Linked DNA regions of Kluyveromyces lactis. The protein of the gene in region 1 interacts with the protein of each later gene in a biochemical or structural test. Links are inferred from orthologs where the notes say so. Each region holds a gene or a part of one and is shown on either strand. Other genes may lie near its edges. The genes, in order: NSP1, NUP159 and KAP95.

Evidence for each region.
Region 2: the proteins of NSP1 (region 1) and NUP159 form a complex in vitro, tested with the Saccharomyces cerevisiae proteins (2 studies listed by BioGRID). The link is inferred for Kluyveromyces lactis from reciprocal best matches to the Saccharomyces cerevisiae genes NSP1 and NUP159.
Region 3: the proteins of NSP1 (region 1) and KAP95 form a complex in vitro, tested with the Saccharomyces cerevisiae proteins (2 studies listed by BioGRID). The link is inferred for Kluyveromyces lactis from reciprocal best matches to the Saccharomyces cerevisiae genes NSP1 and KAP95.

What each region holds. Positions count from the first base shown.
Region 1 is NC_006041.1:1,037,133-1,047,878, forward strand, and holds NSP1 (FG-nucleoporin NSP1), read right to left. Parts: upstream 6,483-10,746; coding exon 4,140-6,482; downstream 1-4,139. Other genes in the region: NUP192 (Nup192p), read left to right, coding at 1-4,034; MHP1 (Mhp1p), read right to left, coding at 7,459-10,746.
Region 2 is NC_006042.1:326,726-337,531, reverse strand, and holds NUP159 (FG-nucleoporin NUP159), read left to right. Parts: upstream 1-4,304; coding exon 4,305-8,702; downstream 8,703-10,806. Other genes in the region: VAC7 (Vac7p), read right to left, coding at 1-146; porin POR1, read left to right, coding at 2,843-3,691; HIS5 (histidinol-phosphate transaminase), read right to left, coding at 8,771-9,934; OCA2 (Oca2p), read right to left, coding at 10,301-10,806. UniProt on the Saccharomyces cerevisiae protein: Functions as a component of the nuclear pore complex (NPC).
Region 3 is NC_006038.1:505,838-516,643, reverse strand, and holds KAP95 (karyopherin beta), read right to left. Parts: upstream 6,478-10,806; coding exon 3,892-6,477; downstream 1-3,891. Other genes in the region: KLLA0_B05742g (60S ribosomal protein uL24), read left to right, coding at 1-82; KLLA0_B05709g (bifunctional fructose-2,6-bisphosphate 2-phosphatase/6-phosphofructo-2-kinase), read left to right, coding at 580-2,223; CAX4 (dolichyldiphosphatase), read right to left, coding at 2,370-3,065; long-chain fatty acid transporter ACB1, read right to left, coding at 7,285-7,521, 7,599-7,625; sphingolipid homeostasis protein ORM2, read left to right, coding at 8,417-9,031; MRP20 (mitochondrial 54S ribosomal protein uL23m), read right to left, coding at 9,783-10,508. UniProt on the Saccharomyces cerevisiae protein: Importin beta subunit that functions in nuclear protein import through association with the importin alpha subunit, which binds to the classical nuclear localization signal (cNLS) in cargo substrates.

The DNA.
Region 1 (10,746 bases):
CAAAGCAATTCGACTTCGCTGTTGCTGTAGACCTTCCAATGACTTCTGCAGTCGAATTGGGGGCAATCGAACAGTTGATGGTATACGCAGCAGAAACTTCGATGGTAGAAGCAGATAAAAGCATGGAGTTATTCTTTGACATACGGTCCTTGCTAGAGAAGCATATTCCAAGAATGTCACCAAAACTCTTGTTAGATCCAGAGTACTCAACCGCAGTAAGCACCAAAACTTATGTTGATGACCCTTCTACCAAATACTCAAATTTATCAATTTTCGACTATGGACTCGATAGCTTTCTATCCACTTTGCATGACTTCTTTCAAGCTTTTATTACAGACTGTGCATTCCTCTTGACAAAGATAAAAAATGCTGAGGAAGATTCTTTATTATCCGGTGAGGATCTCTATTTGGATGACATCTCAGCGAAGGCGGACCTAGAACGATTTTTCATTACCATATACTTCTTTTATGCATCTAGACCGGAATATTCAAGCTCTTTCTGGGATGACAAAGAGTCTAATCTCTATGGTTTCATAGAATGGGCTGCAAAATGTAACGATACTTTGATGAAAGCATGCTTTTACTTGATGATTTCCAGTTTGTCATATGGATCTCAAAATTCTCATAATGTTTATCATTATGTGGAGAGTAATCAGCATAGTTCCTGGAAATATATTGCACATAATATAAACGAAACAACCGAAAAAATTACACAACTTGAACAGAAGTTACAAGATCTCCAGCAAAACGGCGCAGCAACAAGTGAGATCAATGCGGTGGCAATTGAAAGTGGGTTAAGTGAAGAAACAATTATCCTGTTGTCTTCGTACTTTACCTTGGTTGAATCTATTGCATATAATGTTGATGAACAAATAAAATCGCAATTAGCTAACACATTCGAAGACATCCTCTTCAGTTTCCTCAAAGTAAGAAGTCCTTTACTAGGTGCAGCGCTAAAAGTATTAAGTCATTTGATCCCTAAGGAAGAAACTCAAAGGTACGGTTACTGGACCAAACTAGACCGACTCATTTTCAAATCATACCCGTTAGATTCAACAGATAGTTCCTATATTGCAGCCTTCAACTCAATTTTCACTGGCTACTCCGAAGTCTTAGGATTTTTGCAATTGTTCTCCAGATTGGTGTCTGTGGGAACAACTAATCATAGTAATGAGTATATGAAGTTTGGTAAACTAAGTTTTCCTGTGAATATTGGATATGGATATAGAAAGACAGGTGTATGGCCTTATTATGAGTATATTTTGGGTAATATTTTCTTGAATGATGAAAAGGCAGCTACCAAAGACCAGCAAACAGTCAAGAACGTTTTGGTTTTAGATATTATCAAATCTTCGCTTTTATCATTTGACTACAGCGTTATTTTGAACTCCGTTTCCGTCGGTTGTAATTTGGACTCGTTTGTACAGACTTCCGACTTCTATTCCTTTGTCCAACAATCCAATGCTACTGCCACAATGAACTACTTGTACAACGAAAAAGTGTTTTCAAAGATCTTCAAAATAGCCTCTATAGGAATAGATGAGCTGGAGAGTGAACTTGGGCGTATTTTGAAGCCGAAGTCGTTGATGGTCAGGGATTCACTATATATCATTGATATTATGCTAACACACGAAGGAACATATGCCGAGGAATTTTATCCTATAGTGAAACGCTGCTCTGATAACTCGGTGTTTCTACCCAAAAGTATCAGCATAAGAGGATTGCGTTTCTTCTATGACGCTATCTTCTTCAATCTTCCATTGACAGCTCACTTCGGTCTTTATGTTGGTAGCACTAATTTTGACATTTCTTTGAGCAGTATTAGCATTTTAAAGAAGTTAGCGACTAAATTGGACTCGGGAAATCCTAGAGGTCTCCACAAAAGTATATTATTGACGGTATTCGATTCTGTTGATGATTCTGCAAGAATAAAACAAAGCTTCATTGATCAACTAATGTCGCCTATTACCGATGAATGCTCATTGAAATTAAAGGTGAATATTCTAGATTTCATTAGCAAAAACTTGTCTTACACAGATCACAACACCACCATATCACATTTTCTTTTAGGGTATCAAGTGTCGAATACTATTTCATTGGGGCCAGAATTAGATACATTCATAAATTCTAAGACTTCGTTACTTCAAACAATCGTAAACCTTATGATCGAGTCACTATCATGTATTAACAGTCTTAATGTTGAATATGCTCCAATGAGGTTATGTGCAGAATTTATGGAAATAATTACAAAGCTTTGCCGTAATCCTTTGACATGCAAAATAACTTTGGATTATCTGTCAACTCTGGATTTAGATAAGGTTCTTCTAAGCATGGACCCAAAGGTGTCTGTGTTGTCTCATTGGAATGGAGAGCCTTTCAACGGAGATTTTGACAAGTACACCTCGAAATTTTTAAACTCGCCAGCTATCGGATCTCTTCTTTATTTTTTGAAATATAGAAGTCTTCTAATGCAATTTCTAAGTTTGAGTGTCCATACTTTCTCCTATGCGGCCAATAATTCAAAATGTGATGACCTCATGAAAGCTCTTGTTTCTAACGCTATACATTCAGCGACAATCTTTTCCTTTTTGGATACGTTAAACTTGAAATCTCAAGCTCCTTCCACTGATCCCTTTAAAGACATTACTATTTTGGAAGGCTTGGATCTCAGCCTGGACAAAGTTGAAAAGAATTCATCGATAAATGGATCTCTTTATGATTTTTCGAACCTGGATTCCCTGATTGAGCTTAAGAAACGGTCTGAAACTTACCTCTCGATTACATCAGGTCATCCAATAGATGCCCAACAGCTGGAAGTCGGCTCTGAGAAAGAGATCGAAATAATTAAGAAAACATCCACCGCCTTCCTTGCCTATCAGGAATTAGCAACATTTCAACTTTCTGGTCTTCATTCATGGGTTCAATTGGTGCAGATAATTGTTGTTGACAGTAAACTTTCTCCAATTCAAAGATCCAATTTTATATTGGAAGTATTTGAATTCATTATTCCTAAAGTAAACGAATATGTCGAATCTCGCCTTCCATATTCTGAGGAACTAGTTTCCCTTGCTGTCTTCCTTTATGAATTATACCATGAGGATAGAGTTGCCATCGATAATGAAAAAACCCTAGACAGTAGGTTGCATACGCTTTTCAAGACATGCATAAACTGTATATCGACACCATCGGCGACTCTAAGATCTGATTTTTATGTGCTTGGTACAAAGTATTTGAACTGTGTCCTAAAGGATGAAATCCTTTCAAAGGAGGTCCTTCAATGGCTGAAGTTTTCCAATGAATCATTAGTAGAGACTGTTTGCAATGATGCTATTATGGGGCAAGGTGCTAATAGAGTAACAGGAATATTGTTTTTGGATGCTTTAAACCAATTAGCAAGTTTGAACAAAGTAAATTTTGTTTTGGAATCACTTGTCAAAAGTAATATGTTATTATTGATTATAAGATCTATCAAAAACACAGATGAGGTATTAGAGACTCAAAATGAGAAGGTGACCTCTTACACATTATTGTATGAACTCACAATTTTCAAATGTGTGGTACACTTCCTGACAAAATTGGCTCAAACAAAGGCTGGTTCTCATGCTTTAGTTCAAAAGAAATTGTTTGAAACTATTACGTCGTGTAACTTCTTGAAAATGGATCCAGATCTTGGACTAGAATTGATGTTTGAATCTGTTGGTGCTGCAACCTCCGGAAAAATCCGTGCGAATCTAACTTTAGATAACCCTCTCCAGATTACATCATACGAAAATGGTATTTCGCTCTTTGAAATCATTATACCCATCTTCCAGTTGATTGCGTCAGTGTTACTCAGCTCAGGAACATCAAGCCAATACGTTTTCCGTGAGGCAAGAAAATTGATATCTCATTTCAAGCAATTGGTACAAGGCGCATTAAAGAGAGATGCATTACTTGAAAAGAATGGAGTTGAAACCAAACCAGAAGGACTTGAAGAATTTGTTCAACTCATCATTTTGGTTTGTACACTGACAAATTATTCTGGAGCGCAATAACGATCAGGGCAATATGGTTACATGATTATTAGATTGAACCAGCAAAGTACATAGGTTTCAATATATAGATTATCATAGTATTAACCTCAAGGTCAAAAAAAAAAATCATTTCTGAGACTTCGTCAACGTCTTGAGTTTTCCTTCAAGTTGCTGAGAGTTGTTCTCTAGCGACTTAAGAGCATCTAGGTGAGAATTTAATAACTGGATCAACTGAGCGTTTTCTTCCTTATTAGGGAAGCTTGAGTTTGTAGCCTTATTGAACGTTTCGCTAACTTCGTTTATTTCGGTAATCAACGAGGAAAGATTTAGTGACAAAGAGTTTAGGTTGTCGTCAAGCATTTCCACTGTATGATAGGCTTGTTGTCTCTTTTGATCATTCGTTTTGCTTGTGTTGTTATTGTTGCTCGAAGAAAGCACCTCAGATAGCAGATCTTCAGCCTTTTGTTCATAAGAATCGAGGAAATACTCAAGTTCAGATTGTTGTCTTTCGATATATGAGAGAGACTGATCTACTCTATTTTGAGATTGTTCAGCAGTTAATGTATCAGAGTACAACCGACTTATTTGTTCACCACCTTGCATTAATACTTTGTCCCACTGATTTATCTTCTTGGCGTAACTCTCAAAGTGATCTGCGGTTCCAGAAAGTTGGGAGGTCCATTTTGATACTAAGTCATCCAAAGTCTTATTGTCGAGGGAAACAGGTTCGATAGTAACGGGTTTAGTAGATGTCTTTGTTCCAGTTGTAGTTTCCTGCTTAGCACTTTCAGTTGTTTCTTTGGTAGTATCCGGTTTCAGACCGCCCAAAGAAAAGGAAGGAGCTTCAGTTTTCGTGTCTTTGGAAGCGGTAGTTTCCGCAGGTTTACTTCCAAAGCTAAAAGCAGGCTTTGAATCAACCTTAGTGTCAGATGTTCTGCTATCGGCAGGTTTACTTCCAAAGCTAAATGCAGGCTTCGAATCGTCCTTAGTATCAGATGATTTGCTATCGGTAGGTTTCGCTCCTAACGAGAATGCGGGGCTAGGATCGGCTTTATTTTCTGAGGTGTTGGACCCTAAAGCAAAAGATGGTTTTGATTCTGACTTTGACCCGTCAGTCTTGTTATCGAACGAAAAGGCCGCTTTGGAAGCTGACTTGGTATCTTCAGTCTTATTGCCAAAAGAAAACCCAGGCTTGGATTCGGTATCGTCAGCATTCGTGTTCAAGGATCCCAGAGAAAATCCCATTTTAGAGGCAGGTTTAGATTCTTCTGTTTTAGATCCCAGAGAAAATCCACTTTTGGTCTCCTCTTTACTGTTGCCAGATTTAACATTGAATGCAAAACCCTGTTTACTTTCTGGTTTGTCATTGGAAGGTTTAGAGGGTTCAGGAGCCACTGGTTTTGATCCAAAGCTGAAGGCTGGCTTACCGGCTTGTTCTGTCCCAGAGGGCTTTGCTCCGAAAGAAAATGCTGGTTTAGCATCTGTAGGCTTGTCCTCCGTTTTTGAACCAAATGAGAATCCTGTCTTTGCGCCTGAGGTTTTTTCTTCAGGTTTTGATCCCAGACTTAGCGAAAAACTTGGCTTGTTGGCATCTCCAGCGGCAGAACCAAAGTTGAACCCTGAAGTAGCACCGGCTGGTTTTGTATCAGTGTGGTTCCCACCAAAGAGTGATGTGGCATTTGTATTAGGTTTCGAGGTTTCAGTTGGTTTAGCGGAAGTTGTGAAGCTTGATGTTGAAGTTGTATTGGCACCAAATATTGGTTTAGAGGCATTGACACTCGGAGTTGTAGTCATTGCATTATTTCCAGATAGTCCGAAATTAAAAGCGGGCTTTGCATCGGTCTTTTGTTCAGGTTGTGTACCAAATGAGAATCCACTCTTGGGTTGAGTGTCTTTAGCCTGTTGCGACCCGCCAAATAGCGAAGAGCTACTTCCTGCTGCTCCTACGGAGCCAAAGCCACCAAATGTTGGTTTTGCTGCGCTTGTATTCGTGGTGTTGCTGTTGTTATTGTTCGCATTGCTGGCAGCATCGTTTGCGTTAAAACCTCCAAAAGCAGGTTTTGGTGCATCGCCTGTACCAGCAGTTGTATTAGAGGCACCAAACGAAAATGGCGAAGCTGCTGGCTTGACTGCATTAGCGCCCTGTTGTGTATTCATACCAAAGCCTCCGAATGCAGGTTTTGTTTGTCCATTGTCATTGGTAGTGGTCGCTCCAAACGCTGAAAATGCATTTCCCTGCTGCGTATTAGAGCTACCAGCAGCTGAACCGAAACTTGCAAAAGCATTGCCACTGGTCTGGCCTCCAGTATTGCCAAAGAGAGAGGAAGCACCTGTGCTGGTACTGGTGTTTCCTGTGGTAGATACATTTTGTCCTGATCCAGTACCGGCAAACAAATTGGAATTGCTGTTCCCACCGGAAGCATTTCCCGCTGTAGAAAAGTTGAAAGTGGGGTTTGAATTGAAACTCATTTTGTTGATTAACGAACCCTTGTAATTGTCCACTTCATAGACTAGCTATGCCTATTCAAACCAATTCGTTTGCCATTATGTATACAATTTTCAGTTTATTGTTTAATCATATCGAGTTTTATGATCTTTTCGATTTTAGAAAGAAACAAGGTCCAAAAAATTTGAGTGAGGGTAACCTTGATATGATGCATATACGGATGGACATATAAAGCTTGACTAGCCAGAGTAAGCTCTGTTTTAAAGTTTATTTCCTAATATTATAATGAATGTATAGTAAGATTTATATAATGTACAGAATTCAATCGGAGTAAACCGAGCTTGATGGCTTTTATGTCTTTCGATTCTCTCCTCCAATATCAATAACGGTTAACAATGGAATAGAGTTTTCCTAGGAACTATAAATCACATTACCAACTTTCTGGGTAATTTGATCCAAGAGTAAGGCATCATATTTGTGTTTTTGATCATCTCGTATATCTCAATGCATTAGGTTAAAGTTCCTTTTGAAAAAAAAAGAAAGAGAGGTGAAAGTAGGGGCAGACGTATCCCCTCGAATTAGTTTGTGGTTTTCATGTCTACAATTCTCCACGTTTCTTAGACGGAATGTAATTTGTATTCTCTTTGGGGGCTATGTGCATTGGGTGCTGCTATGTTGAGCCTGGCGAATTATTTGATTTCGCAAGCGTGGTCTTTCTTGAATGTGCTAGAGTGTCTAAAACTTCGTCAAACGCGCGGTCCATTTGTTCTTCTTGCTGTACTTCTTCCTCGCTACTATAATCGCTATCAGAATACCCATCACCTTTCTTCTCCTGCAGATTGGCTTCAACTCCTACGACCGTATTAGAACTTTGGTCGACAGAGGAACTAGAAGCAGTTGGTTTTTTGTCATCTGATTTCTTCTTGAAAATTTCGTCAATGGGAATTCCTTGATTGTTCAATTCATCAAGGAGTGACATAATATTAGATATATCTTGTTTCAAAAGGGCGTCTTTGATATATGTTCACTATCAAATCTTTCGCCAACCCTTCTCAAAATATCTGTGTTAAGCTCTTGGCCACGTTTGTTAGCGGTACTTTGTAGTTCATTCATTAATCCTCTACTTTTCCTCAAAACATCACCTTCTTCTTTCAACTGTTCTTTGGCTTCGTTCTGCACTTCACCGCTCGTGTATGTTAGTGCCACCTCGTCATCTGCAGGTTCATATGATTCTACAGATGGTTGATGGAAGGGTAACAAAGCGCTGTGGCCACTGGAAGCATATTTCGATGAAGAAAGTAAGGTGTTTAGTTTCTTCGGATAAGTTAAAGCTGTCGCAGATTGTGAAGTTAATGGTGATGGGCTTTCACGGTCATTTGACGTGGCTGCATTATGGGAATGGTAACCTGCGCTTCGCAAACTCTTCTTTGCTAGTAATTTCAAGCCCTTTTCAAAACTTGCGTCAATAAAGCAAAATTTAATAAGAGTTTCTTTACCCTCCGTACTTAGCTCTCCATTGAGTCTCAATTTGAATAGTTCTTCAATTGCAGCATGAAGTTTCGCACGTACAGTTTGAATACGTTCCAAGAAGTTTGACACTAATGTATCATAATCACTCCTGGTTGAAGAATCTTCTGTTAGTAACCTTCCAAGCTCTTCTTGTAGTGACTTCAATTTTTCATGTCCATCATCGCCACCAGATTTATTAATTTGTTCGAGCTCTCTCTGTGTATTTCTCATACTATAGACAGAGATTTTTTCTTTGATTCTATCAGGGACATGGGCGTAGTCAATATCCATTGTGATTATAGTCTTGGAATTTTTTACAGCAGCAGCCAATGCACTGGCAGATATTATATTCAAATTGGTTCCCAATAGAGAAATATAATTTATGCGTTGACACATCGGCAAAACTTCGGCAAACTGCATTACTGCCGTTGTGGATAGGTTGTTGTTATCTAAGTGCAAACGAAGCAAAGACACAAACACTGGTAAAATAGCTGTCAACGTACGCATACCGTATGGGAATAATCCTGGGTTATTGGATAAATCTAAAAATTTCAAACTATCACAATAGCAAAGACCATTGAGCAAACTCAAAACCTCGTTATCCTCAGATTTTGCACCTTTAGGAACCGAAAGATTTGTAGAGTTAAGAGATAGGAATTTGAACACATTTTTTCCTTTCTTCGTCTTCTCTATTACGGCAGATATGAACGGTCCTAATTTTCCATTCAAATCATTGTAACCAACATCAACACCTTGTATTTTAGAGTTAGTCATCCAGGTTGCAAGGCATTGACATTGCTCTAAAGTTAAGTTATTGTAGGCCAGGCCAAGTCTTAATGTCTTTGTCCAAGCAATATCAATGAAGTTTTGTAGTTGAACTTGATTCATGAAGGCACCTGAAACGATCATTTCTTCTAAGCCACCTTTAGCTGCCACGGCCGCACTAAGCAAACTCCAGTTCATATCAGATCTGTTCTCCATATTGCAAACCATTCTAGGAACAGTTGAGCCATTTGATGATTTAGATGGCTTTTGAACATTAAGCGCTAATCCTGGAATCATGGTAACGTCGAGCGAGTTTAGGCTTTTGCATTTGGATACGAAATATGAAAGGACCTTCCACCCGTCATGATCTACAGGAGTGTTTCTGAGTGATAATTTTTCGAATTTATCCTTATATGTGATGGAACTCAAAATAATTCTCAACATTTCCACGCTCAATGACACACCGTCTAAAGATAGACATAACACCGGAGCGATACTCAAAAAATCACTGAAAGAAAGCACTTCTACTTTAGAAGGTTTGGGGTTTCTTAATTGTAGGAACGGTATCGGTTCCGTTGATCCCTTTTTCAACTGCTTCATAGTAGCAGGGATCGGAAGAATTTCCCTTAGATGACAACAACGAGTATACACAACATCGTGAGGGATCTTTATATTTCTGGGTGGTAGAAGTTCGTTTTCATCTTCAGAAGGTACCAAGGCAGAATCCGATGATATCATGGATGCCAATGATGTGCTAGAACCTTTTCTCCTTGATGTCATTGGCTTGTCAATGGTAACTTTCTCTAATGTATTGTTGACACCAACCTCTTCTTCATTATTTGTCACAGTTCTCTGTAAATCTAGTGGAGCATCTTTAGCTCTGGCCTCTGCCGCAGCTTCTGCTGCTGCAAGTTCGATGTGACGACGTTGAGACGCATGGTCATCCTCAGCATGGAGTTTTAATGCAGCGCCTTCATTTTGATCCGGAGACGTCGCTGGTGCATCTTGGTTGATTAACTTCAATTGCCCAGTTCCTCCTACCACAATACCACAACTTGACTTCTCCAGTATTTCACGTTTCTCTTCGGGAGTTAACCTATGGATAACAACAGATCCATCTGCTTTTACTTCAACTTCACCTTTCCTAGGGTTCCTGGAACAGATCTGTTGAGGAGGATCATTGAAATACGTGTTTGCAGCAAACGCAACGCGCTTCAAAGGTTTGAGATTTTCCAATCCCGGAACCACCGAAGTATTTATAGTTCCTTCAGAAGAATCGACAGATGACTCATCTGCATCCCTGGGTAACGATATTGATGATGACGCTGAAGACATTCTTCTACTTGATACGAAGGAGTCATCGGTATGAGAAGTGACCCTTTTCAAGAAAGAACCGAATTTGCTGGCACCCGATAATGGTGTATGGCTCGAATCAGGTCGAGAGGATGATGGAACTGGCTCGTATCTTACCTTCAATGCAGGTGGTAAACGAGACCTAGGAGGATGTGGCGGTATTGGTCTGCCCTTCTTATCTAAATGGACTTTTCCATTACTGTTTCCATTTTTACTACTACCGACTAGAGTAGAATCTAAAGAGAATATTGCGTTGGGTTCTTTGGTTACTTTCTTTGCAGCACCATTCTGCTGAGATGAGAAACCATTGCAACCATGTTCTTTGTAATATTTGATGAACTCTTCCAATCTAGGATCCAAATCCTGTTGTGAAGCCTGTGATTCAGTTTGAACTCTTTCCAAAGGGACTCCTTCCGCAACTCTACTGACGCTCGGCTCAAACTTCGTTTCAACGTGTAGATCATTTAACCCTTCGTTCTGGGCTAACCTTTGCTGGTTTGCATTCCGCAGCGACGCTGATGACACTGATTTGCTTCTCGCTCTACCTTCATGATGGCTATAATGCGATCCAGCTTCGCCATTTGTATCCAACCTTATTGTGCTGTTACTACTGCTGCTAGAACTGACAGGTTTCAAAGATGGTGATCCAGGAGGTGGTGA
Region 2 (10,806 bases), on another chromosome or scaffold:
TCAGTATCTGTGCCGATGCCATTCTTATCAAATTGTTGTGAAGGTTGTTGTGATACTGGAAGTATGTTCTGTTTCTCCGTTTGAACCAGTTCCGTTTCCACTATCATCTTATTACCGTCATCTTCTGACCCCAAACCTGCAACCATGGTATCAAAATCAGACTAACACGAGGAACAAGGTTATGTGATAATTATTAGATACTCAACTAAATGACGGACAAAAATTATTGTCAAAACTGGATATAGCACTAGAACTGCAGTCTGTTACTATCTGTTTTCTCTGAATTCGGTCACCTGCTAATAATTCTTGGTGTCATACACTTTTAATTCTAATGGATAAGTATCTTATATATGTTGAAATATTAAGTTGTTAGGCTATTGAAGAAAGTTGTGGTAACTATTACCAGAAACAAAAACTAAAAGAGAATTTCGGGTTTCCATCTTTTTTTGTAAGCAATGATCTTTGAAGCAAAATAGTTGGGATCTGGGGAATAAGTCTGTAGTGCCGATCTGATTGCCTAGTTGGGATAGAAATATGCGAAATAAAAGAGTATTATTATTCCCAAGATGTCCTCTTTCTCTCCCGTGAATGGCAGCAGTTAGAAGGACTTGCTCTTGTCATTTTGGGAGATTTGACTAAAAGAAGATACAGAGTCCGAATGGTCACGTGATTGCAGCTCCAATTGAGATTGGACAACTTTTAGGTTCCTGTATAAATATATATATATATATTGTTGACCAGCGAATTGTCGACCTAACTGGCTAGAGCCTATAGTATAAGTAAGATGTGCGCTAGTAGCTTTTTTAAGTAGAGATGATATTCTTAGATTTTTTTAGCAGGGAGAGCGACAGAATATCGTTAAACCTTTATTTATTTAGGTCGAAACACTAATGGTTATGTCTTGCAGCATATGCTATGAATTTCATACTACACAGCATAAATATATTTTCACAAGAATAAACCATTATCTCTAGTTGGTATTTTTGTGGCAATTGTTGTTGTCTACCGTTTCAAGTTTTTTTGGAATACAACAGACGTTGCCCCAGCTAAACTCCATGAGAGCTCCAAGGAAGTACTTCAAAACAAAGATTATCTTGGACATTATTCTAAGACTGAAAGAATACTTTAAGACTGATTAACCCCTGTTGTATTTTTGAACTCCGATAGTGAGGTGTGAAATATCCTTTCGAACTTCGAATGAATTAATTCAGCATTTCTTTCGAAAACTTTGATTGATTCCAACAGGTCAAAAGTAATTCCTCATCCACAACACTATCTTCCGTAACCTCAGTATTGTCAAGAAAACTTGAGCTGGTCCACAATGTAATGTATCTTTGCTTTATATTTCTCTACATGGTACATATTCCTGAGACTCAAACGACAAGTTCTGAACTGAAAAATACACTACGTATTTTTCAATCATGCAAGAATACCGTTCAGAGGATTAGAGGGCAACAGGGAGATGTTTAGGTTTTCATCATGACTTCGGAAAACAAACACAGATGCAGTCGTCAACTGTCAAAAAGCGAATGTGAACTGTCACTGGTGTGATGCTATTCGCCATTATATTTCAAAAGACAATACTACCACATCATTTTCAGTTTCAAGGTATATCTAACTATTTTCTACTACTAGGAAACTGCATTTTCATATTGTTAACTCAAAGTGGAATTTCGTTTTATAAAGCCTAATTATTGTTCTCGAAGTTTAGTTTTCATGATAACTTTTCGTTTTTCCGGTATATGAGACAAAGGACCGATTTCTCGGATATTCACGTGACTGTTTAACAAGAAAATCTACACACCAAGTGGAGAATCTTGCCTCCGCCATGTGAAAACCAAACTAGAAAGAGGAGAGATGCACACATACACAATTCTGTTGGAAGAAAAAAAAAATTGTTGCGTACATAGCGATATATTCACGTGACTCTAAATGCGAACGTCATCACCCCGGTCCCACTGCGTGTCTCTTCGAGTCAGCACTAATAAAAGTCGGAAATCAAAATGCAAGAAAGGATTCCAGATATATCCGGCGCAAATGAGTCGCCTCCAATTGTCAATCATTACGTGGTCTCTTTTTTAATTAATTTTCTTTCGGTTTTTGTGTAGAGCTCTCAAGAGTGCCGGAGTGATAGATTAAGACAAACTGAAATAGGGAAGACTACAAAGCACATGGGGTGTAGACCCAAACTATCAATAATTGCAACATGATAGTCCAATTAACGTGTTCTATACACTTCCATCAATAACCTGTATATAGCCATTTTTATTTAGCCTCAAATGATTGATATCTGTATGCAGTATGTACAATCTACAAGATATATGCTCGAGAGCAAGTGCGTAAAGAATCTCAAAGTGAGTTAGTCCGACATCCGCTCTTAAAACGACACCTCAGGCAAAAAACTGAGCTACTCTCCAGTTGCGTATAGCAGTCCCCGCTACCCCACTATAGACGTGCGTTCCCACTGTATTAAATCTCTCGTCCCCTATAATTTTCACTTGGGAAGCCTTGTGCTTTCCAATGTTTACATTTTCTGGCTACACGGTATTTTTGTTGAAAACTGTGAAAAATCGAGAAAAGTTCACATTGTCATTATTTGTATTTATAAAATCGATATTATATATAAATGAAAGAGATCGAGATATTTTTTTTTGGGAAATTTGCGAAAAATCTTGGATGCACACCGAATTAAAATGGTGTCTGTCTCTTGCTTTTGTGTTATGTAGTAGTTCCTTCTTGGTTTTAGCGGTTGACTGAACTCTAATTGATTCACATTTAGATCAATCGCACTTCCGAAAGCTTGCTTCCGCCCTCTAACAAAAAATAACTTCAAAGATTTACAATGGCTCCTCCATTCTTTTCTGATATTTCCAAGGACATCAATGGGTTGTTGAACAAGGAATTCTTCCACGCTACCCCAGCTTCTGTTGACGTTAAGACCACTGCTCCAAACGGTGTTGCTTTCACTGTTAAGGGTAAAACTTCTCCAAAAGATGGCTCAATTGCTGCTAACGTTGAAGTTAAGGCCTCTGACAAGTCTACTGGTTTGACTTTCACCCAAGGTTGGAACAACGCCAACACTTTGGACACCAAGATCGAATTGGCTGAATTGACTCCAGGCTTGAAGACTGAATTGATCACTTCTGGTGTTCCAGGTGTCTCTAAGGCTGCTAAGTTGAACGTTAACTTTGTTCAACCTTTGTTTGCTGCTAGAGGTTTCTTCGATTTGTTGAAGGGTCCATCCTTCGTCGGTGACTTGACCTTGGCTCACGAAGGTTTCGTTGGTGGTGCTGAAGTTGGTTATGACATCTCTGCTGGTGCCGTCTCCCGTTACGCTTTGGCTTTGGGTTACAACGCTTCTGGTGCTTATTCCGTTGGTTTGTCCGTCAACAACGCTCAATTGATCACCGCTTCCTTCTTCCAAAAGGTTTCCCCAATCTTGCAAGTCGGTGCTAAGGCTGCTTTGAACCCTCAAGCTGGCTCTAATGTCAACATTGAATTCGCTTCCAAGTACGCTTTGGACGCCGTTTCTCAAGTTAAGGCTAAGGTTGCTGACTCCGGTATCGTCGCCTTGTCCTACCAACAAATATTGAGACCAGGTGTCACTCTAGGTATTGGTGCTTCTTTCGACGCTTTGAAGTTGGCTGAACCAGTCCACAAGTTGGGTTGGTCTCTATCGTTCGCTGCTTAAATGCATACTTAGTAATTTTACACAAGTGTTAAAAAGAAGTGTTACTTTTTTCTAAGTTTATGTTATTTTGCTTTGTCCAATGGATCACCAGCCTAGGTTATCAATTTTGAAATGATTCACATTCAACTAAAGTATCATTCTTCTTGGCGTTCCATTTGATACCGATATATATATATATTGCCTTTCATTTTGTTCGCTTTTTTTTCAGAACAACAATATCCGCTTTGTTTTCATTACAGATATGGCCTCAATTACAATGTTAACGCCTACTTCTTTCGAAGATACTTACCTAACTAAATACGTATTCTTTAATGACCATCTAAAAAATTTTATATCTCAAAACATTCATGTCATAGTAAAGACAATAAAACATGAACACTAACCTCATACTGATTTCCGGATCACGTGATTGATAATTTCCTTCTTTTTGGAACTTTGTTTACTTCAAAGCTATCATCAAAAAGCTTCAAACCTGTACAAGCACTGAACATTGCAACTGATGCCCATTGAAATTCAAGGTTTACAAATTAATAAGCAGCTGAGGTTTATATTAATACACTAACGGATTGAAACTACTACTGTCGGCACAGATAAAAGAACACATACAGAATCAATGACGTCCTCTGTGGTTGATGCGTTGAATGTTGAAACTACTGAGAGCTTGGGATTCAAGTTTTTATTCTCTAAACAAATTGTTCCAGGCTTCAATGAGGATTTGCCATTCTCAAAACTGGCTAATGCTTCCATACATCCGTTGAAAAAATTACTAGCTGTTGCTTCTTCCAAGACTGTGTCTGTATATGATCTGCAATCTGTCCGTGATGAGTCCTTCATCACTCTAAATACGAAAGAGTTCACGGCGAAAGTAGTGGGCGTTTTTTTTGTGGCAGAGAGTTTGGCTACGGTCCTAGAAGATGGTTCAGTATGGGTTACCGAATTGGACCAATTCGCCTGGGAACAATACTGGGACGGTAATGGTGTCAATGAAGTCATTTGTTCTGTAATTTTCCAAGGGAATGTACTTCTTGCGAGTAACGCTAATGTCGTGTTTAAAATATCCTTATCGCAAAAGCATTCTTCCGAACAGTTACATTCAATCACAGGTTGCATCGCAATTGACACTTTGAAACATCAACTTTATGTTTTACACAAAAATGGTTCTATAGCTGTACTGGATGAACAGTTTAACGTCACATCCTCTATTGAAAAGCCATCTCTCGATGAACCTAACGAACCGTTGTCCATAAACGCTTTGTCAGAAAGCAGTTTACTCGTATCGTACGGCGAACCGGTCGATGCCTCGGAAGAAGATATCATGTACGATTTAACCGTATATTTTGTCAATGTCAATACTAAATCTTTTACTCCTTCCATGGATATCGCGCCTCCCTATTCAACAGTCAAAAGAAATCCTTCATACTACTCTCAAACATTGTATCAACTCGCTCAGCAGCTACCACATCTATTCGTTATAGGATCATCGTGTGCATCAGAGCTATCGATTGCCACACCGAACGTGATGTATAAACCGGACCAAGATGCTGCTTGTGCAATTCTTCCAATCAACCCTGAAACAGATAATGATACACAACCCATTGGGATGGCCCTAGATGTATTTTCCAGTGGTACTGTGTATGAGCCTTGTTCCGGAGTAGAGGCTGCTGACAATCTACCGATATTATATGTCCTCACCAATCTTGGGGAACTATTTTGTTGGGCTTTATTCCATCACTCTGCTTTACAAAACTCGAGTTTCACGCTAGAACCAACCAAAACTCAGTATGTACAGTCTTTCGAAATCTTATCTCATAAAATAGAAAGTGGTTCTTCTTCAATGGAAAAGGAAAAAGTTACTTTAATTTCTCCCCAAGACACTAAGAACACAATAACTGAAGTAAGAAAGGTTCCTGAACAATCGTCATTTTTTGAAACTACAAATTCCTTCGCTAAAGGTTTTTCGTTCACTCCGAAGAACATGACGGATAGTACAAATGCTGAGTCTGAGGGCTCTCAAAATCCTTTGCTGTCATCTGGTTCATCTCCTGCATTTGGAAAACCTGCCTTTGGCCAAGCAACATTTGGCCAAGTAACATCTAGCCAAGCAACACCTGGCCAATCAGCATTCGGTCAACCAGCATTCGGTCTACCAACTTTCGGCAAACCTGTATCTAGTCAACCAACGTCTGGACAATCAGCATTCGGTCAACCAGCATTCGGGGAGCCAGCGTTTGGGAAACCGGCATCTAGTCAACCAACATCTGGACAATCAGCAGTCGGTCAACCAGCATTCGGTCAACCAGCATTCGGGGAGCCAGCGTTTGGGAAACCGGCATCTAGTCAACCAACATCTGGACAATCAGCATTCGGCCAAGCAGCATTCGGTCCACCAACTTTCGGTAAACCTGCATCTAGTCAACCAACGTCTGGACAACCAGCATTCGGACAACCAGCATTCGGCCAACCTGTATCTGACCAATCGGCGCCCAGTAAACCAGCGTTTGGCAAACCAACATTTGGAAGTACATCATTTGGTACCCAATCTCAAACTAATACCACTTCACCCTTGTCCGAAGAGGCAGAGACGTCATCTGTCTTTGGAACGCCAAGTTTTGGCTCCACATCTTTCGGAATACAAGGAGCTAATGTTACCTCTCCATTCGGAACCAACACAAAAATTTCATCAGAGTCGTCTTTTGGAAAATCGCTCTTTGGAACTTCTCAGTTTGGCAGCGACAGCGCTGTTACCAACCCTGCACCGAATTCATTCGCTACATCTGCGAAATTGTCTTCACCATTTTCTGCCTTTGCTACAGACCAAAAGACCATAAATCCATTCGAAACTCAGACTTCTGATCCATTCGGCCACTTGAATTCTAAAAAAGAAGACACTAAGTCGTTCAACTTTACTGGTTTCGGTGAATCTATATCAGAAGCTAACCACAGTTTGCCATCCGTCACTCAAGATTCTTTGAATTCGAAAGAAGTCAGCGATTCGACGATCGAAAACGATCAATCTGAAGTGCCTAGTCCAGCTAATGATTCGAGCATTTCAGAAGATCAAGACGATATCGAATCTAACATTGTATCCTCTACCGATGAAAGTGATTCCTTATACGGAGAGGACAGGGAAATATATGATAATGATAGATCTGATATACACATCGAAGCCTCTTCAAAACCTTCTTCAACTGTTTTGAACTCAAACAGTGACATAGAAGAGGATGAAGCTGAGCAAAGCAACGAAGAACAAGCAAAAGTGGAGACCAAAGATGGGCAAGAAGAAGAAGAAGAAGAAGAAGAAGAAGAAGAAGAAGAAGAAGAAGAAGAAGAAGAAGAAGAAGAAGAAGAAGAAGAAGGAGAAGAAGAAGAAGAAAAGGAGGAGGGAGAGGAAGAGGAGAAGGAGCAGCAAGCGCAAGATGAAGAACAAGTGAAAGATGATACTAAAGATGTATCAAAGGAGAAAAAGCAAGAAGAAGACAAAGGAAATGATAAGCAGGTCAAAGGTGATCTGCTCACTGAAGGATCTTTCCCATCGGCGGAGAGCACAACCCCTGTTGCTGCGTCTTACGTTACTGAGGAAGATGACACCAGATCGTCTGTTGCTTCTTTTACCGATAGGATAAAGAAAGCGGCTAACCTCTCAACGGAGAATATTGCCAATCCATTCATGAAATCCACAGCAGTTGAAAACAAAGATTCCTCACCTTTTTCGGGCTTCACAAATTCCTTATCCAAAGATACAGGAAAGGCTCCCGCATTTTCCTTTGCCAATCTCAAGAAGGATGGTTCTGAAATTACCTCACCACTGTCTAATGTCAATTCTATTAGCAACGAAAGTGTTATGAGAGAGCCAGAACCAGAATTAAAACAGAAAACTGGTGATGAGCCGGACCCCGAAGTGGCAACTCCCTCTACTAACCTCGCAAGTTCAGAACAGAAAAAGGAAGCACTTTCAAAGGATCAAGAAATTGTACCATCTTCAACTGTCAGTCCAGAATCTGGTAGCGTCTCTTCTTCACCAGTTGTGGTAGATTATCCTCCAGTCAAAATGAGTAAATCATCCGGTACTACTACAAAAGAATATGTTTCACAGCATGTGCAAGCGAGTGTACCTGTAGGAAGCGCTTCCACTCAAAGTCTTACTAAAGAAAGTGCAGACTTTACTTTACAAGCCTTTGAAAATGATGAGCAATATATAGCTGAAAGGTATCTTCCTGAAATGCCTAGTGCTTTCTATTCCACTGCTGAACTTAAAGAATTCAGTACAATATCTTCCGATGAAGTTGTACAGGCCGTTGAAAAAACAAATGCTCAAGTTTTAGCAAACATTCAAGTGTTACGCTCAAATATCGACAACATTGGGAAGTTTATAGGTGACCATTCCCAAAATTTATTCAAACGTACTGAGAAAACTGTCCCAATTGTCTCCTCCTGGAGACTTGGTGAGGCGGCCACTCTTTTGGATATCCTTACTTCCAAGGCTAAACAAAGCTACGAATTGAAACAGTCTTACCAAAGGTTAGCAGATAGTTCTTCTGCGGTAACTAATTTCGACATGCTAATCACGACACTAAAACGCCAATATGACATTCTTGAACTCTCCAACAGGACATCTAATCATTCCAACAGGAAACTTTCTTGGAGTCAGCATCATATCTCAACTATGGTAAAGAGGAAACTTGAAGAAGTCTCCTCGAAACTGGATGAAATTAGAGAATCCATTCAAGTACTAAAGCTTTACAATCTTACAAATACCAAGGAAGCACTGCATGCTGTGCAGCAATTGTCATTAAACGGAGGCATTGGCAGAGAAAACTTGTTAACAGAGATTCAGTCGTTAAGAGAAGAAATTTCTGTGTTAAAATTGTCGGCAGAAAAACCAAACCAACTAGAACCTGAGAATCTATTAATTAACACAGCTTCTACATCGTTGCCCCTTCTCGAAACTACTTTGGAGTTATATACAAGGGCTCAATTAGGAGATTTTTTCTCATCTAAACTGTCTACGTAATGTGTAGAACGAAATGGTCCAGTTGAATACGCTAAATAATTGCTTGCATCCACCTTTTCAAACCTTAATTAAGCCATTATTAAAGCAAGATGTTTCCTGAACTCTTTAATTAGAACATCATTTTCTTGCTTAGTACCAATGGTGATTCTTAAACCACCTGCGCAGCCAGGCTCATTACCTCTATATCTTGTTATAACAGCTGATTCAACGGCAAGCCTTTCATATAGCTTCTTAGTCAAAGCGTTGTCTCCATTGTTGATGTTTAATAAGATGAAATTAGCGTCTAGGCCACCCAATTGGGAAACATATGGAGAAGAAGTCAACTCCTTCAACACTCTCAATTTTTCCTTTTTAACTGTGGCAGCATTCTCTTCCATCAATTTCAAGTTTTTTGGTTGTACTGCTTTCAAAGCAACTTCTGCAGTCGAGCAAGAAATATTATAAGGAGCCTTCATCGAATTCAAGACTCTTGACATAGCTTTAGATGTATACGTAACTCCTAGTCTGATTCCAGCTAGGCCAAATGACTTAGAAAGAGTTTGTAAAACAGCAATATTTTCGTACTTTGTTGCTAGCGGTGCCAAGGACCCCTTATCAGAACCCTCAACAAAATCGATGTATGCTTCATCTACAACAACAAGACCCGTTTGCCATTGTGATAGAATCTTTTCAATACGATTAACATCGATAAAGGTACCAGTTGGATTACCTGGTGAAGTAATGAACACCAACTTGATTGAGGGATCGTTTTGCAAAGTTTCTAAGATCTTTTCCTCATCGATTTGGAATTTGTCTTCTTCAGATAACAATAATGGTACCGTAACGTATTCAACATCGTTAACCTGAGAACAGATGGTATACATTCCATACGTAGCAGGTGCAATTAAGATTTTTTCCTTTGCTGGCACACAGCACGCTCTAATAAGGGCATCGATGCTTTCATCAGATCCAACTCCAAGACATAGGTTGTCAGCATCCAAAGGCTTCAAGTTCTGGTCTTTGAAAATAGAGGTTTTGTTACGGTAATCAGAAAGGAGTTTCTTAAACTCCAATTGATGCGGATCTGGGTAACGATGCAACAGAGAGTCAACATTGTATTCCTGAATGGTAGGTCCGTATGGGTTCTCATTGGCATCTAACAAGATACCTTCTTGGAAATCATCACGAGCGCAGCGATATGGCTCCAAGTTCAGAATCTTTGGCCTCACAACTTTAGCTATATCAAAAGTCATCTCGTGTAACAAAACCTGAACACTCTTAGCGCTGTACCTGAGTATGTAGTGGCTGCAGGAGGTACATTTCTCCCATCAATTGACAACTTTAATCTGTGAGTTGTACGTCTAAAACGTTCTCGTATTTTTTCACTTTTTATGAATGTTCATTTTCCCTGTAGAGTCTGGATGAGCTGTAAATCTGACTTTGAGAAGATGGGATGAGATGACTCATGAAGAAATAAACAACAATATTTGACTATGCAGCATGAGAGCTGCGATGGATTGAAGTACCAAAACAGTCAGAATCTATATTTGTAGAAGTATACTATTGAAAATCAAACAAACAAGTGTTATATAGGAATAGCTGAGCATGCAATTTCCGTATCATACGGCCAGCTTTTCATGGGTTTCGTTAGGATGATTCTTGAAATTGACGAAATCAGGCAATCTGTCCAGGGGTACGTTAATCGAAGTGTTGAACATTGTGATATATTCTAGGTCAATATCACCCTTTTGCCCTCCAGTGAATAAGTCATATTCTTGATATATGCCTGTCATGGACCACCCGAGTAATAATTTCCTAATTATCCCGACTACAACACCAACACGATGTTTGCCCTTGTTTGAATGCACAAGAATCGGATAGTTATTTACGTCTAACACCAGTTTAAGTACAGTTTCCATTTCCTTTTGTATTTCTGGGTCTTTCGTAGACTTCATCGGTATATGGTGGAATTTGATGGATTCTTCTTCCAAAAACGCTTTGTATTCGGGCAAAATATCTTTGTCACCGACGTATATCACTGTTTTTAAATGCAATTGATGCTTTATGAACGAATAGTTCAAGGGCATCGGATACCCCGACCTGTATAGGTCAACATCCGTACCCA
Region 3 (10,806 bases), on another chromosome or scaffold:
ATCCAAGGTCGTCATCACCAAGTTGCACTTGGACAAGGACAGAAAGGCCTTGATCCAAAGAAAGGGTGGTAAATTGGAATAAACTGGTTGTTAAGATTTTCATATATCAAATATTATCTTCTATAATCATGTTCACTAGTCTTATATAAGTGTAATCCTCACATTTTTGAAATTAAATACACAAAACGGGTATTTTCCGTATATATCGACCAATTGGACAATCATTCATTGATTAAACCCACTCGCTCTTCTTCTTCTTCTTCTTCTTCTTCTTCTTCTTCTTCTTCTTCTTCTTCCTCCGCTTTTTCCCATTCTTTCACTAAGTCTACCCTTTGATAAGTCCATAGAAACATGATTTTTAGGAAATCGAAAATTTCAGCGGAGTCAGTCAGTATAGCTATTAGTTTTGAGTAAACATATCAGGTAAAGAACCTGGAGAAACCGGACACCAGACGTAGTGAATAAAGCTGGTAGCTGGTGATTACATTGATCTATAAGGGCAACTGCTGGTATATTGCAAAGTCATTTTTGTACCAAGTTTGAAACTGTTTCTCAAAGTAAAGATTGCATTAATAAACAATGTCAGCGATTGTATCTGATGACGATGAATTGATAAATGGATTAGGGTCCGAGGTAGTAATCACAAAGCCGGTTCCTGGAAACCACATGGCAAGGACCAGGAAAAGATGGTCTAGTGGCTCTACAGAAAAAAGGCCTAAGGTTATTAATAAACTCATCGATGGGGTTCATACTGATGTTGCTAAGGATTATATTTCCCCGGGCCAATTATATTCGACAGAATCAGGACGTTTGTTCCATGCCGGTAAGATACTTATTGTGTTAGTAGGCCTCCCAGCTACCTCCAAAACGTTGTTGTCGGTTGCTATTACTAGATATACTAGATGGTTAGGGGTTCGTACAAGGTCTTTCCATGTCTCGGAGTATAGAAGAGAGAAGATTAGAGCTGAAAAGGGGGAGGTACCCGATGATTACTTCTCCGCAAAACCGACCTCCAAGGAAGGAATTCAGTACAGGAAAGAGATATTAAGTAAGATGATTCAAGATATGACTGAATTTTTCGACGAGAAGAAGGGCCAGTTGGCTGTTTATGATGCTCTGAATATTTTGAAAGATGATAGGTCATCTATAGAACAAGCTTTTGGTAAGTTACACATCAAAGTTCTATTTATCGAATCAGTGGTGACAGACCCAGTCTTACAAAAGAGGAACGTCGATTTGGCTATAAAATCCGAAGACTATAAAGGGTGGGTCCTTAAGAGGGCTGAAGAAGATTATATGGAAAGACTCCAAGCCAATAAATATTTGTATCAAGAAATGAGCCCAGAAGAAAAGTTGAGCTACGTTAAGTATATCAACTTCGGTGAGAAGTTGACCGTGAACAATAATAACTATGGCTATTTGATTAACAAGATTGTCTTCTTCTTAATGAACCTTCGTGATAAGAGAGGCTGTGTCTATTTCGCTCGTTGTGGAACAAGTGTTAAAGATAAGTACATCGACGATGAAGAGTTAAACGGAGAAGGCTTGGAATATTCCAGAATATTGACAGACCTTGTATTGGACTTGGTCAACAGAAGAAGACTTAACGCTAATGATGACGGAGCAGACGTTCCAAGGACACCGTCTCTGGTCTCCCTAAATGAAAGATCAAAATCACCGTTGATTGCTACGAGTGCATCATTGAAACGGACTGAATCAACTGGTAACGCTATGTATAGGCAACCTGCTAGTGGGGATGGTGTTGATGACGACTCCTTCGTGGTGTGGACGGCACCAAGGAAGAGAACGTACGATACGGCAAAATACTTTGCTGATCTGGGCATTACTGTAAGGCAGAGAAATCAATTGCAACAACTACATCCAGGTGTTGTTGCTGACATGACTGATGAAGAAATCAGAGAAAAGTTCCCAAGCGAATATGAAGAATACTTAAGGGATCCATACCATTTCAGATTTTCAAGAGCTGAATCATATCATGATCTTGCTGTGAGAATGGAGCCACTTCTACTTGAGATGGAAAGAATGTGCGGTGATATTCTTATCATTGGTCATGAATCTACTTTAAGGGTGTTATACGGTTATTTGATGGCTTTTTCCTGTTCTGAGATACCAAGACTAACGTTCACCCGTGATGAATTGATTGAAATCTCATTCGGACCATTCGAAAATAAAGTGAACAGGATTCCAATTGTGATGGATTAATTAAGGTTTATATTATGTTCATATAAATAGGTATATCAATTATATTAAAATAATGCAAGATCATAGCGGAATACTTGTGACTCCTAGTAAAGCAAATAAACTGGTGTTAATTGTTAACATTCTATCTGTGGTTTCCTTCCAATTTGTCAATCGCTTTTCGCTTTGATGCTTAGTTGTCTTCTCTGTAAATAGGCGTTGTACTCATCTTTCAAACTAAAAGGAGCCTGGAAGCATGAATCCTTGATCAAAAACCATTGTACAATCCTCCAAGATAAGAACCAGTCTACTAGCCCAATGTATCTGACTATGGTAGAGGCTAAGAAGTGGCATGTTCCTAATAAAGCGCCAATTGAAACACCCACTAAAACTTGTTTCAGAGTGTGATAGCCTAAATAGACGCGTGATACTACTACACCGCTAGAGGCAAGTAACAAACCAAAACTTGCTAGAATTTTATGTGATTTATTCAAGCCACCCCATTGGCACCAGATACGGAGGCCTATATACATGGTGAAGAATCCCATAAACTGGGAATGAGCACTTGGCATACCATAACCTGATCTCACAGAATCCTTTTGAAAAGAACCAAAATCAATTGGCCTCGTTTCCTTGATGATGTTTTTGATGATGTTATTGGCAATGTCATTCACTACATGCCCTCCCGCTAATATAACAGCTTCGATCTCACGAGTAATAATGAACCAGGAGAAGTAAAACACTAATATGCCAACAGGCAGAAGTGAAAGATAACAACAGATGAACGAAAATAGATCATTCGGGTCATATAAAATATAAGTATCATCAAACGGGATCTTTGAATGAATAGCGGTCAAATTCGACATGATTGCCGCTAGTTATGACCGTAATCGTCGATGTTTCCTAACTCCTTCTCTTGCGTCTTTGATCCGTCGTTTAGCGTTGTTATGTAGAATTTAAAGCTTTTTTGTTTCATTCGAGATGTAAACCTCCCAGCAAGTAAACAATTGACAAAAAGGCTGAGAAGGATTGAAAAAATATGGGTACATGAACTGTTGTAAAAAGAACTTATTGATAAATTGTTTAAGGTCTATAATTTAATGCAAATGAATCACTGCATGAAGAGTAGTCTATATAAGGTAGTGATGTAGTATTTTGCTATAAGATGTGAAGTGAAGAAGTTAACGGAAGGTGGGCATAAAGGATCGTTAGAGTGATGTAAAAATGATTAGAAATGGGATGCTAAGAGTGGATGAGTGTGACAGCAAAGAGTAGTGACCATTGTGACATTAGAACGGAAACTCCAGGTTGCTTTAAATCGAGAAAGAAGTTGTATCATAAAAGAGGTAGGTAGAGAAGAGAATAAAACAGAATAATGAGTTATTAAATAAAATACAAGGGTAGAATAATAAGTAGTGCAATAGTGAGAATAAAAGAGAGTAGTAAGTAGTAGAAGAGTAGGGAATAAGAGTAGTAGGAGTAATGAGAATGATAGTAGTGGATCAAAGGAAATTTGAACTGGTCGACTTCTTTATATTAAAAAGGATGAGGGAACTGGCGTCCATAGATCCAATGAACAGTGGTTGGAGTGAATAAACTGTCAAAGGCAGTGAATTATGCAAGTGAGTTGTCTGTGGAAGTCAGTGTATTGTTATTAATAGTAGGCAGGCAAACAAGAGCGAATGAAAAGAATCACAAGTTAGATTGCAACTTTTGTTGTTCTCTTGCCCACCTTGCTGTATCTCTAGTGTTTTGAGAAAAGGATTGATTGGTTTTCACGTCCTTTACAAACTTAATCATCCATGGTTGTGTATAGAATTGTTGGAGCCTTCCGTCTGGGTACATGGCAGCAATATCACCCACTATACCGACTGCTGTTCTTGCAATTGAATCTTCTAATGCAACACTTGGATTATCAGCCAATAAGTTGATAAATTGGAAAATTGAACCTGTGTAAGGAAACAATGCATCTGGTTGGTCGTGTAGCCCTGTTATTATTCCTACGTATGCGTCCAATATTGATTCGTATAATTTATATTGATAATCGAGGGCATCAGAAGAGCTATAATTCGGTTTATAGTTTTGAGCCATGACGCACACGGACATAACTTGGGACAAATACTGTATAAAATCTGATCCAATGTTGGTGGCAATATCACCAAAAACAGAAAGGACTGCAGGTTGTAATTCCTTCTTCGCATCTGGAGAAGAAAGCATTTGCCCAAGAACACTCATGAACGATGGAGCGAATTTCTTGAAGTCATCCTCTAAAGAGTTAGAGATATCAGCAATTAGATTGACGGCAGTGATAGAAACTTGGGACTGTACTTGATTTAACGCATTAACCAAATATGGGGAGAAACTTTCCAAATACTTTTCAAAGTTTTTACCCAACGCAGATGCTAGAGCAGAAATAGCGTAAAAGACATCATCTTCCACGTATGTTGTATCATTCTTGCTCAAAAGTTTCATAAATAGATCCATCAACATATCTGCTACTGGATTAACAGATTGTGGGTTCTTTCTAATCACTGCAGCCAAAACAGATAAAATGTTCGATTGTAATTCATGTAAGTTTTGTCTATCTTCAGCTGTTAATTGAGCTTCATCCACTTGCATTGTTTGTCCAAGTTTATCCAAAACAAAAGTGGAAATTGAGGTAGTAGTTTCCCCGACTTGGTCATTAGCGAACTCTACTAAAGTAGTCAAAGCAGAAAATACAGATGCTCTAGCATTATATTCATTGTCTGACCTGTTTGAAGCTTCAAGCAATGCGCTAACAAGAACTGGATAATAATTGTATATCGGAGAAGAAGGGGTATCAGCTAATTGTTCGACAAGGTTGATAATCGTCCAAGAACAATTGGTAGCCACTTTTGGATGGTCTTTTAACCCGATCAAACAAGCGTTTACAACATCAGAAAGATGGTCTTGAGGATCTATAGCAGCAACGACTGAGTCTGCAATTCTGCCGATGCACCATGCTACTGTTTCCTTCACTTGCAAAACTGGATCCGTTATTAGGTTGAGGATAGGTGGTAACGCTTGATGGACTAAACTAGTCAATTGAGTTTTGTCAGGACCGTCCAATATAGAACCAAAAGCCATCACAGCCGCTTCGCGTTGTCTCCAATTGTCACTGGTGATGTTCTGTTCAACGAAGTGCAAGACAGGTTCTACTACGTAGTTACCACAGTTTTGAGCGAATAGTTGCAAACAAGCACCAGCAGACATTGCCACGTTCCAATCATCATCATCCGGATCTTCATTTTGCTTTGTTAAAAGCTGTAATAGAGTTGGCACCACTTCTTGGATGGATACTAGAGCAAAATTGTAAGATTCCAAGCCTGGGTTGGAGTACTGTGACAGTTCAAAAGCAATATCAATTTCTTCTTCACAGATGGTAGACCAAAATTCAACGGCCATTGCTGCCACCTTTTCATTGGATGATTGTATAGTAGCCACGGTCAAAGCGAATAGAGCTTGTTCCATGTAAGGTTTCATGTAGAAATAGTATAGTGACATGATTTTACAAAGACAACCAAATGCGGCCGCTTGAATATCTTCATCCGAAGCCTGGGTAGCTTCACATACGACTTGCATCAAGTAATTTCTTTCACCCTCACGTTCCATATTATTCTTAATGAATGCAAGCGAGTCAGCCAATGCATTAAGCGCGGTAAGTCTGACAATCTTAGAAGTTTCGTTCGACTGTGCACCTTGAACGATAGCGATCAAAATGTTGTTCGATTGATTGATTAAAGTTTCATCACTTTGGTCTGCACTTTCACAGATATAACCCAATGTCAACAAGGAAGCTCTCTTAACATTTTCTGGTTGTTCTTGAGCGGTATTATCTACCATAATCTTCATCAACTCTGGCCATTGATTCAATGGCAATTCGATCTCTGCAATGGCAGCGATCAACTGAGCTGAAGCGTTGGCAACACGAGTCTCTGGATCAACCAACGCTTGTAACGCAAACTGCTTAATATGATGTCTAGACTCTGCATCGACTTGCGTAGACCAACGTTGAGCAAACTGCTGGGCCTTTGTTGGGTTCTTCGAAATCAATTCGTTCTTCAACGTCAAACCTGCTAGAATTCTAGCTTCAAGACGAACGGACACATCGGCCAAGATCTGAGACAAAAGTCCAGCGAATTGCAAGAAATTATCGTTAGATAATTTCTTCAACGTCGTCTCCGCTTGAAGACGGACCGTTGGGTCCGGAGTAATGATAATGTTTTCCAAAAACTGGGCAACCTCGGAAGCTGACATAACGATTTGTAAAGGGTATTATAACTTACTAGTGTTTCCAAATCCTAGCGGGTCGTTTCAATAGTCAGTCTCCAAAATTATAGAAATAAAACAAGGAACTGCAACAGCAAACGGCAAATAATAAATTTTCACACTTGGTTCACTTTATAAAAGTATCAGTATATCGAATAGCGACGTTAGATCTTCCTTTATTCTGTAATTATTCGGCGCCTACTAACGAGTTTCTGAGTATGAACTCTCGATCAAGTGTCTCACGAACCGTTCTCCCTTGCACAAGACACCTAAACGCAAGGATACAAAGTGAAATGTTTCCCTGTTTCTTGGATCCTAAGTTCTTTTGTTTACGAAATGTTTTCTAGTTGTTTTTGTTTGATAAATAGATGTGAAGGAAAGAAATTCTTTGAAGCTTGGGAATAAGCAAAAAATAAGAAAAAGCTGTGTAGCATCTTGTAAAGCGCGTTTGTGCTACGATTTGGAGTGGAATCAGATGGAAAGTAAAAGAGTCTGTTACCCGGATATATTGCCTAGAAAACAATGTATGAACCCCATAAATGAAGAGAAAAATAGGGATCGTGCTCCTGTTTAACGGAGGGTAACTTATATACTGCTAGGGAAGAAAGAATTTTTTGCCACTCAACTGCAAATAGCCGGGTAAATAGTTGGCGTTAGCTTGTTCACGTGACTTGTAATTCGTGTTTCAAACCGAGTAATAAGGGTATTATCATTAGCTATATGGATCAAGGATAATATATATGTAGATATAGATAGTTAGTTAGATGATGCAATAACTTGCGAGACCATCCAGCTCTATGGGGCGTATTTCTTGATCAATTGGTCAACCAATTCGATGTACTGTTGTTCGGCATCTTCTTGGGAAGTGCCCTTCAACAATTCCCAGGCGTCCCACTTGTAACGGTCCTTCAAGTTGAACATGCCTGGTTTTTCCTTGGTGTTGTCACCGACGGTTGCTTGCTTGTATAGAGCATACAATTTCAACAATTCATCGTTATTTGGAGTTGATGGCAATTCATTGACAGCTTTAGCCTGCAGATAAATGTAAGATGCGGTTAGTATGATTATTAAGGGAAATCAAAAGCCATTGCAACAACGATTCCACATACCTTTTCTTCGAATAATTGAGAAACCATTGTGTTTTGAGTGAGTGTCGATATCTGACGTATTGAACTAACACTTGTCTTTCACAAATCCTTCGTTTAGTACCATGTGTAAAGCTTCTCTTGATTTTGTGCATTAGGTATTTATATGTTTTTTCTCACTGAAAACAACTTCCTCCAGTTTTTGCTTACATGGCACGAAACTTTTCATAATGAACGGCATTAGTATTCAGGTAAGATCTAACAGCTGATGCGTTTTTTGCTCCAACAGCAAACAGAAAGGACCTAGAAGCGTCTATTTAACTCGACTAGCTTTCTTATCAAACTGTCTTCATTTATTGTCAAACCCAAATGATTTATTTTGGGCAGATTGAAACTTCATTGGTCAAAACAGCTATAGAGCATTGAGTGAAACCTCTACTCGTACCTTCGATGAGCCAGTTGGGTTTCAATATCTAGTCACGTGTGTTTACTTAAACTCTCTTCGCTTTTTTGTCTATGTCCACTACCCTGATTTCGGATTTGGCTGGTGCTTTCCTTTTTTTCTCTGAAACCAGAATTACATATTTTAAAATCAATACAAATTTAAATCACCACTGAGGCCGTTGATAACAACCTTGATCCAAACTGATCTCTGTTCCTTTATCATCAAAATATTCGGATACGTTCGTAGAATAACTTAATTTCGATAAAAAGGAGTGTGTGACACTAGTTGAAACTCTCTTTTTTTTTTTACGCATTTGTTATTGACTGAGCTTTTCATTATTTCATCTTTTGAGTACTGGTTAAGAAGGTACCACGCAGCTGAAGGCAAAATATAAACGATGTCACAGTTGAAACCTTTCCCATCTTATGGACAAGATAACAGTAATGGCGGTGCGTCTGGTATTGAACCTGTCAAGGATCACAGAAGAAGGCGTTCTTCCAGTATAATATCGCATGTGGAACCGGAATCCTTTGAAGATGAAAATGACCAACAGATGATGAACAATATGAACGCTAATTGGGTGAATCAGCGAGGCGCATGGATTATCCACCTTGTTGTGATTGCACTGCTTAGACTCTTCTTCAATTTATTACCTGGAATGTCTAACGAATGGTCATGGACCTTGACTAACATCGCTTACGTGGTTGGTTCCTATATCATGTTCCATTTGATTAAAGGTACACCTTTCGATTTCAACGGAGGAGTTTATGATAATCTAACAATGTGGGAACAGATCGATGATGGGGTGTTGTATACGCCTACTAGGAAGTTTTTGATTACGGTACCTATCGGTTTGTTTCTTTTGTCAACACATTATTGCCGTTACGATTTACAACTATTTTTATTGAACTTCGTTTTAACTACCTTCGTAGCTGTGGTTCCTAAACTACCTGTAACTCACAGGCTAAGAATAAGCATTCCTGGTATCACAGGACCTGCTCAAATCAGCTAAGAAAGGGAGTCAAATGAATGAATCAAACATTAAAAATAGAAAGGAAAAAAAACAAAAACAGAGAGGCAGGAGATTCTCTACCTGCCTCTCCGGTTCACATCAGAAGCGATAAAATATCTCATGTTTTTTTCTGTTGTCTAATTGACCAGAACTGGGAGAAACTCGCTTCGTTCATATCGTCATTATCATCATCATCATTATTATTATTATTTTCATCATCATTATCATCATTATCCTGTTCCTATTTAGACAGGAACAAAAAAACTAGAAACTCCGTGTACTAATTGGAATAGGAACTTATAAAGAACATTAGAATGCCAATCTTAGTATAATCAGCAACAGGAAAAAAAGAAACAAGATTAACCGTTTAGTGACTAAGTATGACATTAAATGAGCACCTGCCCGTTATTGAACCCTTCCATCCTGAACCGTGAAGATCAATACAACGGAAATTCAGGAATCAAATAGAAATCTTATACCGTTACTCTTTTTTCGCTTCATTTTTTTTCAAACTGGGACATACTGCACTTAACTTTCCCTTAATATTCACCACAATGTATTTATCTTTTATACATACATATAGTGTTCTTCAAACTTATTTCTCATTTAAACATTGAAAATGTTCACAAGTAGTCGTCATATTATTTTGCTATGACAGTTTTTAAATCAGTACTATATTTCATACATTATATTTACAGGATGTAATACTTTTACTAGAATTTAATTCATGAAAGAATAAATTCTCTGAAATTCATGTGCTTTTAGCAAGGACTTCACTGACCTTCTTGATTTGCTCCAAATATTGTTCCTTCTTTGCCTCTCTAGCCTTCTTATTCACTAGTCTTCTTTTAAGGAATCTAGGAATGAAAGGTTTTGCAGTTTCCTGGTATGGTCCCAATACACCATCGAATGCCTTTGAAGGTTTGTTAGCGTCGGATCCTAGTCTCATCCTATCGTTTCTGTATTTTTCCAATTCCTTTTGGAACTCAGTATTCCATGCACTCTTGTCCTCAGGTTCTGCAGGCCAGATAAATGGTTCTGCCATATCGATAGTCATCTTCTTGATTTGAGGACCACGGTACCTGGGCGACACCGGCGTAGCACGAGTGTATCTGGCATGCAATAACTGTGTAGTAACGTTCAACGCTCTTAAACCATAAAGGTGGAATAAATAATCTCTTAAATCTAATTTGTTAAACGATTTAGGAACGATGAATTTCGCTTGATATGGAGTGTGTTTAGCATTTGGTCTTAGTAGAATAACTCTCGCTTTAGGAAAATAGAGCTCTGCACCACCAACTTTAAAATGTGGTTTCTCAGTTTTAATCGCTTCACGAGTGTACTCCAAGATTCTGCTTTGTACGGATTGACGAGGTCTCTTGAACTGACTGGCTTTGACTGCTACTGTAGATTCCGTCTCTACCGCAGTAGCAAGGTTTCTCAAACCCTGTTTGAGAGATGGGAAAAAACGAGGCATTTGTTATAGATATTGAACAGAAACACTGGCGCAAAGATTACTACTTCACTTCGCTCTGCACTCGCAACTGAAAAGTCCCAAATAATCCTGTTCTTGTATGCGTCTCTTAGAAGCCTCATCTTCATACAAATCTTAATGTTAAAATCGAAATCATTTCAATGAAAAGCTTTAAAATACTCATTTTCCATGTTAGTAGATATTAGAAAAGCTGATGAGTACACATTTTGGCACGAATCTAACGTAGAATATGTCGTACAAAACTGGAGAGCTCTGGGATGTTTTAGAAGAAAGATTTTTT